2 linked regions of the Solanum lycopersicum genome follow. The protein of the gene in region 2 interacts with the protein of the main gene of each other region in a pairwise test. Links are inferred from orthologs where the notes say so. Each region holds a gene or a part of one and is shown on either strand. Other genes may lie near its edges.

Region 1 (8,515 bases), on a different chromosome or scaffold from region 2:
CTAAGGACTGATTTATTTAACAATTTAGAAAAGCAATACTTTTACTTTTCTAATTTAAGTGATATTAGCTTTAATTCAGAATGAAGACCAAGCGAAAACTTCGTGCACCCGTAACATTATGTTTTAAAATTTAAGAGTGTCATTCTTTTTGTATGGATTACTAAGGGACATAAGGTGAAATTAACAGAGTGTATAGAGTCAAGAAGTGAAGTTATTAATAGGAATGAAGGAGGATCATACCGATGGATATGGCCATTTAATATGTCTAAGCCACCAATCCACCAATTGTTGCCTTGCTTCCTTAGGCAGCTTGCCTTTCTTCCTCTTCTTCATGAACTCCTGCTTAAGGCTTCCCAAGTAACCGCTGTACTTACGCAACAATTGACCTTTGAGCTCTCTATCCTCAGCCTGGGGGTCGATGAAACTGTTATTCACGTCAACCTCTTCATCAGATGATCCATTTCTATCCATTGCCTCGCCCAAAGCTACACCTTTAAGACTTAAATTAGCATAACCATTCTCCAAGAAAAAAAGGAACAACTATAGTTGAGAATATAACTTGGCTTATAATAACATTATAGTAAAAATCACTAGCTACTAGGATACGAGATAAGCTTTGAGTATGAGTACTCAGCTGGTTCTCTTGGGACGTGATCAAAAGTTTGGCACGTTAGATTAGCCAACACTACAGGCTAACATAAATCATTTTGCTCTTAGGCATTTGGAAACTTCTCAGTAGTTTCTTACACAAGAAGAGTAACAAAAATATGCTAGAGTTAATACAATCAAAAACAACAAAGCGATTCATAACTCACACTAAATCTAGGCAGAGAATAAGAAGCTTATAAATTTTATGAGAAACTTAACTACCCCTATATACTTGAGAACTATCAAGAGTCGTTTGGTTGGGAACAAATTAGTATTCTGGGATAATTTATCCCACCATGGGTCTAATCACTATGGTGAATATAGTGAGATAAGTTATCCCAAGCATGACAACCAAAAAACAAAATTCTAATACCATCACTATTTTATTATCCCACGCTAATTATTTGTATCCTTCTCACCAAACGACCCGTTACTATTTACTACTTATCAAAAAATACACATGAGAGTAACTATCCATGTTGCAATTAAGTCCAAAAAAAGCCAATTTCTTCAGTTGTCTCGTAATTGCAAGCAGTTAAGCCCTCGCTTCTTTTAGACTCCTCAAGATTCAGTTTTTTAAATCAGTGGGTCCTTCAGAAACCCAACAGCTACTCAACAAATTTCGTCTTCTTTATCCCATTAAAGACTCCATTGAGTACCTATAGATTATTAACTTCACAAGTTTGCTATGTTTTGTCTATTATGTGAATAAAAAAGTCCAAGCAAAGAAACTTCCAAAGAAATTTAGCTGATTAAGGAAACACTTGTCAATAAGCATATGAACAAATATACAATTAGATCAAACTAAGCAAGCCGTATTCACCAAGATGAATCCTTTGAATTCCGAAATACATTCGACTAGATATTTGCACCCTAAAAAAAGGAAATAAACTCAAAAGAGTAATTAAAAAAAAAAGATGTATTGATGAAAAAACACCAACTACATAATCCAATGACTTAAACAAAAGTATAACACATCAAGTAGGTTATATGATACAATCCAATAAAAGCTCCAAATCTAATCAAGAGTATTTTATGGGTCTCACTAAAAGGAAGGTGCATTTCTCAATTTTGTCTTGTATCTTTCTATTCTTTTAAAGTGTCTAAAAGAGGGACCTCATGGAATTATGTCGAAAGATTGTAACTATTTGTGCGATACAGCTAATCGTTCAGCCGATCAAGGACTTCTTCACAGACCATATATGAAACTTAAGTGCTTGCTAAGATGGATTGGAGCTTTCCAAGTTAAACAAATACAGATTGAAATCCAAATACATACAAACTATTGCCATTAGATGGAAGTTCCTTTTTCAGTGTTTATTTAGCTTATACGGTGTAACATTTAAGCATTCGTAGTTATGAACCATTTCCAAGACAACCAACTAATTCAGCACATCTTTCCAAATACCTAATAGATTTAAAATCATCAAAAACACTACTACTTAGCAACAATAATAGTTATAGAGAGTGATTCCAGTAATATAAAGATTACTTGACGTTAATTTGTGGGGTTACCAATCAACACAATTAACGAGAGAAACATGGAATGAATAACCTTTTCCAAAACTCAAAAGTCTTATATTTTAAACAATCAAAGCATGAAACATAAACTCAACTAACTTTGAGAAACATAACACCCACACATAAATTGAATTCAAATGAAAGCTTATGTTGAAAAAGACTTGATCAAAAGAAAGATAATGTAATAATCTGCTCCTTACAACAACAAACTGGTGTATCCAACGTGCAAAATCACCTAAGACTGGTTGGTATATAGCTATCTCCGCCACCCCCTCCCTTTCTACCTCAGTATACTTACAAAAGACCCTCAACACAAGAGAATCAAAAAATTTACTTCATAGAGTGTCAGAAGTAAAACCAAAGTAATATAATTTTGAAATTCATATTCACCATCATAATATATGCAGCTTCAATACAGAAAACTAGGGTTAATACATTATTATATCTTGAGCTAGTCATCAATTAATCTGTGATTGGCACATGATAGAACAAACAAAACCTGCACATGAATAGTAGGGGAAAAAAGCTGGAACAAGAAAGACATATTTCCCAGGGTCATTCCAAATAAAGAACAAGACAAGTTGAGTTTATTCAGCATACACAAGCATCCAGTTTGAAATGATTAACAAGGGACAAATATATCTTGCTGTTTACACTTACAACTAGCACCACACAAATATTATGAACATGTAGAACAAGAACCAAAATAAGATAATTATTCTTTTTCTTTAATATAAATTCCAGGTAGTATCCCTGGCAGATGTATTTCATTGAATATTGAGACAGAAACAAAACTATTTTAAAAAATCATTGTGAAATACAAGAAGGTAGAGTAAATTGATAAAAAATTGAAAATAAATGGTCTGCATATGGAATTGAGCTTATTTTATTAGTACATAATAATTAATTAATGACTGATATCATTGGAAACATGCACATGCAGAGGACATTAATTTATAAAAGAATAAACTCAAGTAAACAGTTAGGATCTGAAAAGAATAAATGTCACCATTTTAAGAAATGAAGAAAAAAAATTTGATATATATATATCTCACCAGATTCATGAGAAGAATTAGGTGCAAGAGTTAAAGCTTTGAACTGACACTCAATTCTTGAAAGAAAAACCATGGCTTCCTTGAAGGGTTTTGAGAGTTCTTGTTCATATTTTGTCAGCATCTCACAATAAGCCTCCATGAACTGATCTAGTGCAGGATCTTCTCCAATGATTCCACCACCACTACTACTACTGCTACGGCCCATTGTTGCTGACGTGGCACATATTTCCTCTAGCCTTGCCACCACTTCTGGCGGAGCTCCTATCTGCAGTTGTTAAAAAGAAGAAAAAAAAACTAGGTTTTTTCAGCTACTGTCCCTTTCACACACATGATTTTGTTTTCAGGGTTTTTTATTGAATTGTTGCAGAGAGTCACTTTCAAGGTAGAAAAAATCATCAAAATTTCAAGAAATACTAAAACCCATGTTAAAAAATATAATCTTTGAATTGTTGAAAAAAAAATGAATTTTTTTTTGTTGGTGTTAATTGGGGGGGGGGTGAATTTCACCTTTTGACAATTGAGATAAGCAGTCAAGAGACGATGGTAGTGAGGATGAGCCATAATCTTTGACTTGATGGAAGAAGAAGAAGAGTTGTTGTCTTCTTGAGGATTATTGTTGTTGTTGTCCATGAAAGGAAGAAAAAGGATGTTGTTGCTGCTTGTTTCTGCATTGTTATTGTTAGTTAAAGAAGGAGGAGGAGGAGGCATCATCATCATCATTGGAGGAGCACAAATTGTTACATTTCCATTTCCATTTCCATTACCATTTCCATTGTTGTTGTTGTTGTTCTCATGATCTCCATATCCCATCATCATTAAACAAGATGTACTAGTATTTCCACTAGAACCACCCTCCATTATTCTCTCACACACTTTCTTCTTCACTCTAAATTTTGTTCCTTTCTATTTGTTTTTGCCTATGAAAACCATCTCTCTCTCTCACACACACTGAGAAAAAAAAAAGAAATGGAAAAAAACCTCTGTTTAACAGTAAATCTCTCTTCTCTTTTTTACGAGGGTGTGTGTGTGTAAGTGATCTCCCGAGTTTTATGCTTACTGATATCAGGCTTTTTCACAGCAAATCCTTAATGGAATACATAGTTAGCAATACTACTAGTCAGAAAAAAAAGCAAACACACAATATTCCTTTTTTCTTTTTCTAAAAAATAATTAGTAAAAAACAGTGTATTGTTCACTTTTCTTTTCTTTTTTTTTTCTCTCTATAGTGTTGTAGCAAGAAGCAAAGACTATGAAAAACATGAACATGTTAAAGGGTTAGCTTGTATTTGGGTGCAAAATTTTTACCTTCCCAATGAAAACTCATACCCCTTTTTTCTTCACTGCCACTGAAACACTGTCATTATCTGCCAATATCCCTCCTCTCCTAGTGAGAGAGAGATATACAGTTTAATTTTTATTTTTAGATTAGAATGATCAAATCGAGGTGCAGTGTAATTTCTTCTGTGTTTTTATGTGTTTCTTGGTTTTTGGGTTATTGGAAAACAGACAAGAGTGAGAGTTCCTTACCAATATTATAACTTGAGACCTATTTGTCCCTTAATTGAATATGATTCTTTTTGCTTTGCTTCTTCTTTCAACCACTAAATTAAACTTTATATCATTATTTTATATTAAAAATTAGATTAGCGTACACATTATATTATACTAGTAGTAAATTAACAAAAATACTACTTTTCAAGAATAAAACGTGAAGAAAACTTATCTTTTTTAGAGGGAGAGGGGAAAAAAATAGACGCACAACAAAGGTGTGAATTGTGATGTGAGTGGATATAGCAGTAGAAAATCTTGAGATTCACATCTTTAAGAGACTAAGCTCTATGGTAGGTCTGACCAAAATCGATCGGTAAGTAAATAGTTAAAAGATCAAATATATTAATATTTTGAGCAATTAGAAAGATTAAATCCTATAAATGAATAGTTAAGAAACTATTTAAACCCTACTCGAATAGTTAAGAAACCGTCAATGACATTTTCTCTAGATTTTGGAGGAAGAATTTTTAAAGAAATTACAAATTGTTTTTTGTTCATAAACTTTAATCAATTTTTGACAATTTACATAAATTTGGATGAAATTTCATTTCACTTATCCTATGTATTGTTTTAAATCCTACAAAAATATTTCACACACCATTCAAACTTCAAAAACTGATATTTTCAAATTTCCATCTTAATTTTATAAGCACTTTCAAAATAAATTACTTAGATTGCTAATCACCTAAAAAACATTAAAATCAGACAAAATCATAAGTTGGTCATGTTTAATGTATAAATTTTCATTTATAAATATTTTAAATTTGATAAAATATATTTTAATCAATTTGGAATAGATTAATTTCTTGACTTTTTATTTGCATCTTCGAGAAACTTTTATCCCAATTTTTTTTTTCTAATTTTCAAAATACTCTTTCCAAATTGTGATGCTAAATCTCTTCCATTCCATATATCTTCTGTCGTAATCTTTTGTGTATATGTTTTTTAGTATTTATAATTTTTTAAGTAATAATTTTAAGGATATTTTAATTATTTTAAGGGAAAATTTAATAGTTTTCTTTTTTTTAAAAAAAAAGTTCAGGTTAAAATTCTTGAATAAATGAAAAGGAAAAAAAAATCTAACGAGTTGTTTAGAATAAAAATATTTGAAGAAAGATTTACCCTATTGGGATAGGGAACTATTTATAACTTTATTGTCTTTTTCTTGTTCTAGTTATACATGAAAAATGAAATAAGAAATGATATTTGATGTATTTCATACTCCGATAGACAAATATATAATTTAGTTTCCTATTATTGACAAACAACACACTTCATTCACAGATATTCTGTTCATTTTATTTATATATATTTTTGGTGCCTTCAGTGCCATTATTATCTTATGGCATTTTCTTGGTTTGTGTAGATTACTATAACCCCCACCTATTTCCATTTCAATGAAAAAAATGTAACTTGGACACTTTGCCTCGCATTGTTTTTACTCACTTTAATGGAAAATGCTACGTACCCCACCCCAAAAGAATCTTCAACCCAATCTACATAACTAGTATTTAGTTTTTGAGGTCTTTAATTGAGGTTAAATAGAAAAATAATTATTTGTATCGAATATTTTCGTCTAATTATCACAATTTTCATTTGTAACTTCATGAAGTAAAATGAAAAATAAATTTTAACACATGACATGACATGCATATATTGAATTGATGTATAAACATCTTATGCGGATAAGTTTTATCCACACTAAATAGCTAGAACTTTTTGTCAGAATCTGATTTAGAAATTTAAAAAGTTATAAATATTTTTTATTTTAAAATTAACTAACTTTTTTCTATTTTTTATTAAAAATTATTAAAGTCAATGAACGAAAATATTTAAGAAGATAAATAACATACTTAAGATATTATTCGGGACAAATTTTCTAGGGAAGAGAATTTTTCCTTTAATTTAATACCCTATTCTGTACATTCAAAATTATTGGTAGTAAATAATAAATTTTATTGAGATATTCAAATTACAATTTATTCAAGGAGTATTTAAATACTTGATAAACTCTTTATACTAAATATATTTAATTTTCAACGAATTTTTAAGTGTTCATTACATATACAAATTAATCATTTTAAGTATGTCTTCTCATTTAGGACTCATTTGGCTATAGATTTCTCAAATAATATTTTGGGAAAAATTTGATAAATAATTTTATTTACAATTTGTCATTATTTAACAAATATTTCAAATTCTTAAATACTATTTTTTTCTAGTATTTGGACCAAATCTCATTATTTTGGGATCTTCTTAAAATTAAAATTTTACTCCAAACTTTTATCTTTAACAAAAACACCCTTTTATAGTAGTTGTTTGTGTTGTATTAAATAATTTTTTACGTAAACACCAAAGTAGTGATGCAATATTCAGTGAACATTAAATGATTATATGGTTGTTGATGAAAAATTGTTTCATGACTTATGGAATGATGTTTGTTGCATTCCCTCCAAACTATCACATTGCTCTAGTGTCATGGGCATTATTTGTTATTGTTGCAACGAATATCCAATTGACTTGTAATACAAACTTATAGTTAGTTTTGATAATTTTTAAAACTTATGGGTATAAAACATATTTTTCTAAAAATGTGAAATATATTTCCCAGATATTATGGTCAAACGCTAGCTTACTAATCTGTAAAATCTCATGCTTATACTTTGATTAATGCGCGTTTATAAAGACACCTAAATTTTAATTAAAATATGAGTTGAATATAACTATATATATATATATATATATATATATATAATTTTTAAAAATGGAAACTTTCGCATATAGCTACTGAAAAATAGTTTAATTATGCTCCACAACTATAAATTAATTAATTACAATTTCAGTTACATGTTATAGGAAGAAGAGTGGCTAGCGAGACTAAGGAGAGAGGCAAGCGAGATTGGGAGAAGGAGGAGAAAGACAAGCGTGAGAGAACAATAATTTGTATAATTCGCATCTGGTTTTTGTAATTTGCAGGTATGTTTGGATATATTGTATGTTTTTGTATAATTGAGTAATATAAAATCTGTAGTTATACAAATATAATAAAACTTGAAATAATGATTTGATACAAACAAAACACATATGAACTTTATACAATTATACAAAATATACTATACAAATGACATTATGTAGATCATATTATACAAAATTTGAAAACTACGTTTATAGAAATTTTAAAAAGTTATACACAAAAAGATTCAATGTATATGATGACAAAACTAAAAAATCAAATGAAATTATCGTCATATACAAATACAAATCATAACATACAAATACAAATCAAACAAAAAATTATTAATATCAAATTATACATATACGAACTCAAATTTAGCCTATACGATATAATATAATCAAATAATATAAGTTTATTTAACCGCGTAATTTTCATTGAAAAAATGACTTTATACTTACTATACAATCTTTTTGTGAAAAATGAAATAAACCTCCTCCCGACCCCTAAATCTGCCCCCGTCTATTTTCATCGCCAAGTGTTGAATCAATTGATATATTATTCTGGTAAATTGCTGACCAAAAAATAAAGTGAAGTACATCAAGTGAGACAGAATAACGAAACACTATTGAATTGAAGAATAATTTGTATCGAAATATAAAATAGAAAAGCACGAGTTGTCTCCAATTAAATTTACAAGTAAATGAAAAGGTGTCATCAGTCTTTCATCTATCCCATCTAAAGTCTCTAATTATTTCCTCTAAGAAAATTAAAGTGCAGTTCTAGC
Region 2 (7,463 bases):
ATTATTTACTCTGGTTGGATGTCTAAGTTAGGGAAGCAGTTGGATGATAACGGTCTTCTCATCCTTTCACGTTGTTGCCCTTTGCTCAAGGACCTCGTGTTGAGTTATTGTACTTTCATAACGGATGCTGGTCTTAGTTACTTGGCTTCTTGTTCGAAACTTAAATCCTTGAAGTTGAACTTTGCTCCCAGAATTACTGGTTGTGGCATCCTGTCTCTTGTTGTGGGCTGCAAAGCCCTTAGTGTGCTTCACCTGATTAGATGTCTTAGTGTCAGTAGTATGGAGTGGCTAGAATATCTTGGAAAACATGAAATGCTTGAAGATCTCTGCATCAAGAATTGTAGGGTTATCGGAGAAGGTGATTTGATTAAGCTTGGACCTACTTGGAGAAAATTGAAGAGACTGCAATTTGAGGTTGATGCCAACTACAGATATATGAAGCGTTATGACCGTTTGGCAGTTGACCGGTGGCAAAAGCAATCGATCCCATGTGAGAACATGCTTGAACTTTGTTTAGTGAACTGTGTTATCAGCCCCGGGAGAGGGCTTGCATGCGTAATAGGGAAATGCAAGAATTTGGAAAAAATTCACTTAGACATGTGTGTTGGGGTTAGGGACTGTGACATAGTATGTTTGGCCCAGAAATCAAGCAACCTTCGATCAATCTCTCTCCGAGTTCCATCAGACTTCTCGCTTCCTCTGCTACAAAACAATCCATTGCGGTTAACAGATGAAAGTCTAAAGGCAGTGGCTCAGAACTGCTCTTTGCTTGATACGGTTAGGTTGTCTTTCTCTGATGGAGAGTTCCCTTCATTTTCTTCCTTTACTTTGAATGGAATACTTATGTTAATACAAATGTGTCCAATAAGAGAACTCGCTCTTGACCATGTGTATTCTTTTGACGATATTGGAATGCTAGCTCTTCGTTCAGCAGAATATCTCCAAATCTTGGAACTTGTAAGGTGCCAAGAAATCACTGATGATGGAATGCAGCTTGCTAGCCAAATTCCTCAATTATGTACATTACGGTTGAGGAAGTGTTTGGGAGTGACCGATGATGGGTTGAAACCTCTCGTCGGGGCTTACAAGTTAGACTTTTTGGTTGTAGAGGATTGTCCACAGATATCAGAAAGGGGAGTTCAAGGAGCTGCAAAGTCTGTCACATTCAAGCAAGATTTGTCATGGATGTACTAAGCTTTCCCATTATACAAGTATTTTTCCAGATGTTTTACAGGTTAGGTTGTTTCGTCTAATTACGACTTTTTGTACAGTCATTTTGTTTTTCATAACATTTCTGTAATCTGCAACACAGAATTACCTATGTCCACATGCATGTTGCATAATAAAGACTAATTTGAGTGTTTGTTTCCTATGCTTCGGAAGCACTTCCTCATTCCAAGGAGGTGAGACCACTAGAGTAACAACTTGTTATGTTAAGGGTGTCTCATTTCGTGTATCATTTTATTTGTGTATATATATATGGTACGCCAATATGAGTAAAGTTGCGTACACATCACCCAACCAAACTCACAGTTGTAGGATGTGTTGTTCCTGCTTCCATTCTCAATGGACTATGAAGCATCTAATATCTTGTCACTACTTTCTACTAGGAGTTTGCCTTGTGGATACAAAAAGTTTAAGAAATAATTCTACTTCAAATGGAGCTATACTAACTGCCTTAGTTTTTTTACAATTTTCAGTTGTAATTCTTGTTTAACATCAATCCATTACTTTGCCAAATGAAATATCCACTTTTATCTTACTTAAGAGAAATGCACTCATATTTTTATAATATTAACAATAATATTTTTATAATGGCTCTTCTAACGCTCTAAAGCTACTATTTACTTTTACAGCCCTTAAAAAGGAAAAAAGAAAAAAGACAATAATTATTAAGATACTGCACCAAATGGTGTACAGAAACAAATGATTACAAAGCATCTCAATTATATTCTCATCCATAAGATGTATACTTCGCATATGTGAATTTGTTTAATTGGATTAAAAATGTTTTTAAAAAGTTATTACTTCGTTCGTTTAACAAAGAATGTCTCTATTTTCTTTTTAATTTGTTTTTTTTTTAAAAAATGATTCTTTTTTTTTGGCAACATTTTAATTTTAAGTTTCCACGTGGCATGTTTAAGATCACAAGATTAAAACATTTAATATAACTTTAATTTAGAATCACAAGATTAAAAGTTTCTTTCTTTTCTTAAACTCTGTTTCAAATTAAATTAGGTTATTTTTTTTTAAATAAATAAATTATAAAAATTTATATGATTATAAGTCATTTTAATATATGTAAAAATGAAAATTTATAATCAATTTATTTATAAAATAAATTAAAAGAGAACAGTAATATCGAAACGAAAAGCAAAGAAAGCAATCGATAATTATATGTTTCAATTATTTTAAGGAAAAATAATGAGAAAATTAAAGGCCCACCCCACCCACTAGAAAAAGTTAAAATGGGGAATTAAAAAAACTTTTAAGTACTGCTCCCTTTATAAAAGATTCCCAAATTTCTTTAGGAAGAAGACATTTTATTTAGTGACACAGAACTTATTAGTTAAAAAAGAAAGGTAAAAAAAGAGAGAGGACAGATTGAAATGATTGTTCAATGGAAAGCTGCTCAAAAAAAGAAAAACATGCAACCAAAACAAACAAAGATAGCTCATGCATAAAGCAACCTCCATCATTGAGCCAAGAAGCAAAAAATGACAAACCGAGGAGCTAGATACGCGGTCTTTCAGATTATTTCGCCTTTAAAAAAAAATAAAAAGAAATAGCATAACTTGTAGTCACTTTCTTAGTAATTAGTTCGAGTGGATGAAAAAGAAATAATGAATTTCAGAATATCTAAATTTGTTTTCCTTAGCTAATTTCATTAGAAAAGTTGTTTTTCCTCTTCATTTAAGGGAATTGTTTTGCTATAGATTAAAAAAATATTTTCTATAACACAAAACATAAAAATTGAAAAATATTTTAAACAAACACACCCATATAAATACATTTTTCTTTTTCTTGTTTCCCAAAATAACAATGTGTTGTTTGAATCACATAATCAACTTTATAAATACATCTTCTTTTTCTTTAGTTAGCTATATATGTTGTTTGGGACTCTTAATATCAAATGCATGAATATGTTAGCATATATACACACAATATGCCCAAAAAAACTAGACATGATAATTTTAAATCATTCGATTCGAGCCAAAATAAATTAAATCTACTATAATATCCATATAAAATGATATAAATATATTTTATGTTATACTTTTTTCAGTCAAAGATCTTCCTTATGATTATCCTCGAAAGAACTTTATTCAAATAAAAATAAGCATAAATCTTCCATTCTACTAAAGAATATATATATATATACTAAGTTAAATAATGTAAACAATTTTTACTAGCAAAACAAAGACACATGAAATTGAAATGTATCTTCTAAAATCAAGAACCTTGTGATCAACCTCCAATTTAATTTACACCTCATAACTGTTTGGACGAAACAACAGAGCAAGTATTAATAGCATACAACAAAATATAACCTTTCGAATATATCCAAAAATAACGATGTCACACTAGACGTCCTGCTTTGTTCATTCAACCAGCAAAATCATGCAAGAATTGCCCACCAACCATACTATTATTTCTTCCAAATTGTCCATTTTGTTCATCAAATCCACCAAAAATAACCCTTCCACTACTCGTACTACTATCGATACCAAAACGTCTAGCTGCATTCATCGGAAATGGCTCCGATAAACCAATATTACCGGAGTTCTGATGAAGCCCTAACGTTAACGATACACCACCACCAACTCCAGTTGACAAATTTCCATAGGATAAATTTATTGAATCCGCGATTCTTCCAATATTATTGGGAATATTTGTTAACTCATTTCGAGTTCGTTTAGATGGAAGGTCTTGTAATCTTGATGTTGATGTAGATGGTGTATTACTTTCACATGCATTTGAATTACTCATAGGAAAATGTTCAATTGGATTATTACTATCGTTGTTGTTGTTGTTGTTAGGTCCTTCTCTATGTGAAGAAGATTTATTATGACCTTCTCGAGTTTCAAGCATGTGAATCTCTTCTACCATAGGTTTCCAAAGTCTTACTCTCGCGTTGATGAACCAATTAGAAACCTAAGCATATGTGTTATCATATTATTAATTCGATAAAAATTATAACTAACATGTTATAACACGTTAAAACTATATTAATTAGTGTAAAAATATGTTTGAAAATGTACAAACCTGATTTCTTGAGAGTCCAGTTTGTTTGGCTAACATAACTTTATCAGTGTCCGTGGGGTAACTGCAATAAAATCAAGTAATATGATTTTAATACTGTTAAATCATCTAAAAGATATAATTGCAAATGAACTTTATATGATAAGTAAAATTAGCTAATAAGATATTATAACGGTAAATTATAGTCCAAAATGTGTGCCAGTATCTGTCCATGTAAGTTAAATCTTCTTTTGAATAGAGCAGTGATACTTTTTCCGTTTTAATTGATACGTTCTAGTAATTCTTGAATTTTATGTTTTTAAACTAAAATATATATTTATGAATATACTCTTTTCATCTCAAATCATTTCTCGAGAGTCAAACTATGTAAAACTTTGACCAATGTTTTAAAACACAGTTTTTCATCAAATTGCAATGAAAATTGCAACTCGTAATATTTTTCATATAGTTTTTAAAAATTTATATTTTAATTGTAATAGATGAAGTTGATCTAATCAAATTCAACTTTGAAGATTAGTCAAGTTAACTATCCATGAAGTGAAACACGACAACTGATTTGGGACAGAGTGAGTACCAAAATGTTTTTGTGTAGTCTTAGAGTGTGTTTAGTATGAAGGAAAACATTTTCTGAAAAATTATTTTCAATTTCAAATTTTTATTTTTATACTCCTACACCCCACCCGGTTGGCCCCCGTACCCACCCCCTACCAGCCCCCACCTACCCCCAACCCCTCAAAAAGTTAATTTTATTCATAAATTAAACACACAGAAAATATTTTCTACTCATCAACCAAACATGATAAAATAAGTCCAAAATCTACTTGTTTTTTAGAAAAACATTTTCTAGGAAAACGTTTTCCATGGAAAACATTTTTCTTCGTACCAAACACACCCTTAAACATATCAAGTTAACCGTATTAGAGTTAAAAAAGTAACTATATATAAATAATTTGATTAAATAAAAGAAAGTAAGACACATAAATTGATACTTACGGGTGAAGAAAATGGTCAAACAACCAAGCCCTAAGTACAGTGACAGCACGTTCAGGAAGCCCTCTTTGTGGTCTCCAAACAGGTTGAGTTTCTTGTCTTTGGCAATAAATTCCTTTGCCAGAAATTCCAACTCCTCTTTCACAATTAATTTGACCATGTGAAGATTTTCTTGTTGTAAATTGAAGTTGGTCAATTATGGCATCTTTAAGGCATTTGAAGTGTTTTGACATAGTTTTTATAGCTACGTTTGCAAATGGTGCTGCATTTCCAAGTCCAGCAACTGATTCAAATGATGCCACAACCATTTGTAGTTGCTCATGATATTGCTTGTACTTATGGTATACCTGCAAAATAACCACAACTCGTCGTTAAAGATTTTAGCAACTCTGAACACATTGATATCAATTCAATTGCTGCTAGAAGGAAAATTTGTTGTTATCGAATGTCCCTTTTGTTGTAGTGAACATAATTAAGTAAATATGTGTTGAATGTGAGTCATCAATATGAGATAGCCGGTTGATTTGTCAAATCATCGTTTAACTACTAGTTGTTATTATAGAAAATTATATTTACGTTCTAATTTTAGTTGTGCATAAATAAACACTGATATACTTATACAAAATTGAACACAAGTAAGTTACATATCGCACGAGACACTCAAATTGAAAAAATATTATAATAGAATCTTGAATCCATACGTTTCGATATGAAAGTAACTAGATTTATTAGAAGGAATTCTAACCTTTATACATAAACAACAATTACCACTTCAGTATAATCCAACCAAGTAAGATTTGAGAAAAAAAGTGTACGTAATCATAACTTTATGTAGAATATAGAAAAATTATTTTTGACAAAGTCTTAACTCAAAAAACAAACAATCCAATATAAAATTACCTTTTATACGATAAAAATATAAAATTAAATTAGACTACTACATACAAGTTCAAAAAACTATCAATAAATACAAAAGAAGTTTCAATTTAAATTTTTTATTGCTGCACAAATATCTTATATCATACTTAAGCGCACTAATTCTAAAATTTATATTTTTCGTTTAAGGTTAATTAAATTATATCACACGCTAAAAAAAGAAAAGAGGAGTATTTAGAATTTTCTTATCTATAATTGAGTAGGACACTTTAATTAAGGCACCAATTTTTGTGCATATATTCCCTAAATCACCTTTTCCCAAAAAGAAAAATTAGTGATTTATAAGAACCTGTACGCCTATATCACATAGGCATCTAGCCTGTGTAGCCTTTAATTCAATAATAAATTACACTATAAAATATCATTTAGTATATCTAATATAGGTAACAAATATTTTTTTATTACTACCATTTTAACTAAAAAAAGATTTATCACAAAATAATTACTCCCTACCTTTCTTTTTACTTATTCTTCTAAACGTTGTACCCTCCCTCGAAAATTACGATGGAGGATATTATTAAATAAATAAAAAGTGTTCTTTTTAATAATTTAAATTTTTAGGTAAGATAATCATACACTTTAACATGATATCAGAGCAGAATTGTACTTGACTATTAATTTTGACAATAGCCTACAAGAATGAATGATGTTTAAGGGAAATCAATTAACTCGTTTATTAAGTAAAAATATTTTAATAAATTATATTTTATTTTTTTGTAATTTTTTAATGAGCATGAAAAAAGTAAAAGCAATATTTGGAAGTAATATTAAAATGCTAAAAAGCTTCTAAATACCCAAAAAAATCTCATAGTGCATATTTGTACGGACATTAACGATAACTCATCACTTTAAAGAATCTCTTCTTTTTTTTTTTTTTTTAATTTTAACATATAGTATATGCTAGAAAAAGAAAAGCATTGGAGTTTTCATAGACAACAGCTGGATAAGAATCATAAGAAAAAAAGTGTAAAAAGTTAGGCAGTTGGATAATATATTTGGTTTGAATTTAAAAATTACTAATAAAATATAGTTTTATTAGTAAAATTAAAATTAAAAAATATATATAACTACTTTTTTTTTGAAATATTTTACTCAAAAAAATTTCAAATTATGATGGCTATACTTTTAAAACTTACCAAAAAGACTTGAGTAATTGCAAGCAAAGTCAATGGAGAAAAATATATGGTTCTATAATTAATGCAGAAACAAGCTAACTCTGAACTCCCCTCCCTACCACACATTCAATAAAAATTAAACTTTTTCCACAAAGAGAA

Evidence for each region. The genes of interacting proteins can lie anywhere in the genome.
Region 1: the proteins of BEL1-like homeodomain protein 9 (region 2) and T6 interact in binary tests that used the Arabidopsis thaliana proteins (3 or more experiments, as listed by UniProt). The link is inferred for Solanum lycopersicum from reciprocal best matches to the Arabidopsis thaliana genes RPL and STM.

The regions. Positions count from the first base shown.
Region 1 is NC_090801.1:61,368,052-61,376,566, reverse strand, and holds the start of T6 (homeobox protein knotted-1-like LET6), read right to left. Parts: upstream 4,382-8,515; 5' UTR 4,083-4,381; coding exon 3,732-4,082; intron 3,490-3,731; coding exon 3,225-3,489; intron 492-3,224; coding exon of another isoform or gene 486-491; coding exon 241-485; intron 1-240. UniProt on the Arabidopsis thaliana protein: Required for shoot apical meristem (SAM) formation during embryogenesis. Negatively regulates ASYMMETRIC LEAVES1 (AS1) and ASYMMETRIC LEAVES2 (AS2 or LBD6). Probably binds to the DNA sequence 5'-TGAC-3'. Binds to RNA.
Region 2 is NC_090808.1:5,207,493-5,214,955, forward strand, and holds the end of BEL1-like homeodomain protein 9, read right to left. Parts: intron 5,601-7,463; coding exon 5,257-5,600; intron 4,328-5,256; coding exon 4,267-4,327; intron 4,156-4,266; coding exon 3,607-4,155; 3' UTR 3,355-3,606; downstream 1-3,354. Other genes in the region: F-box/LRR-repeat protein 14, read left to right, coding at 1-1,194.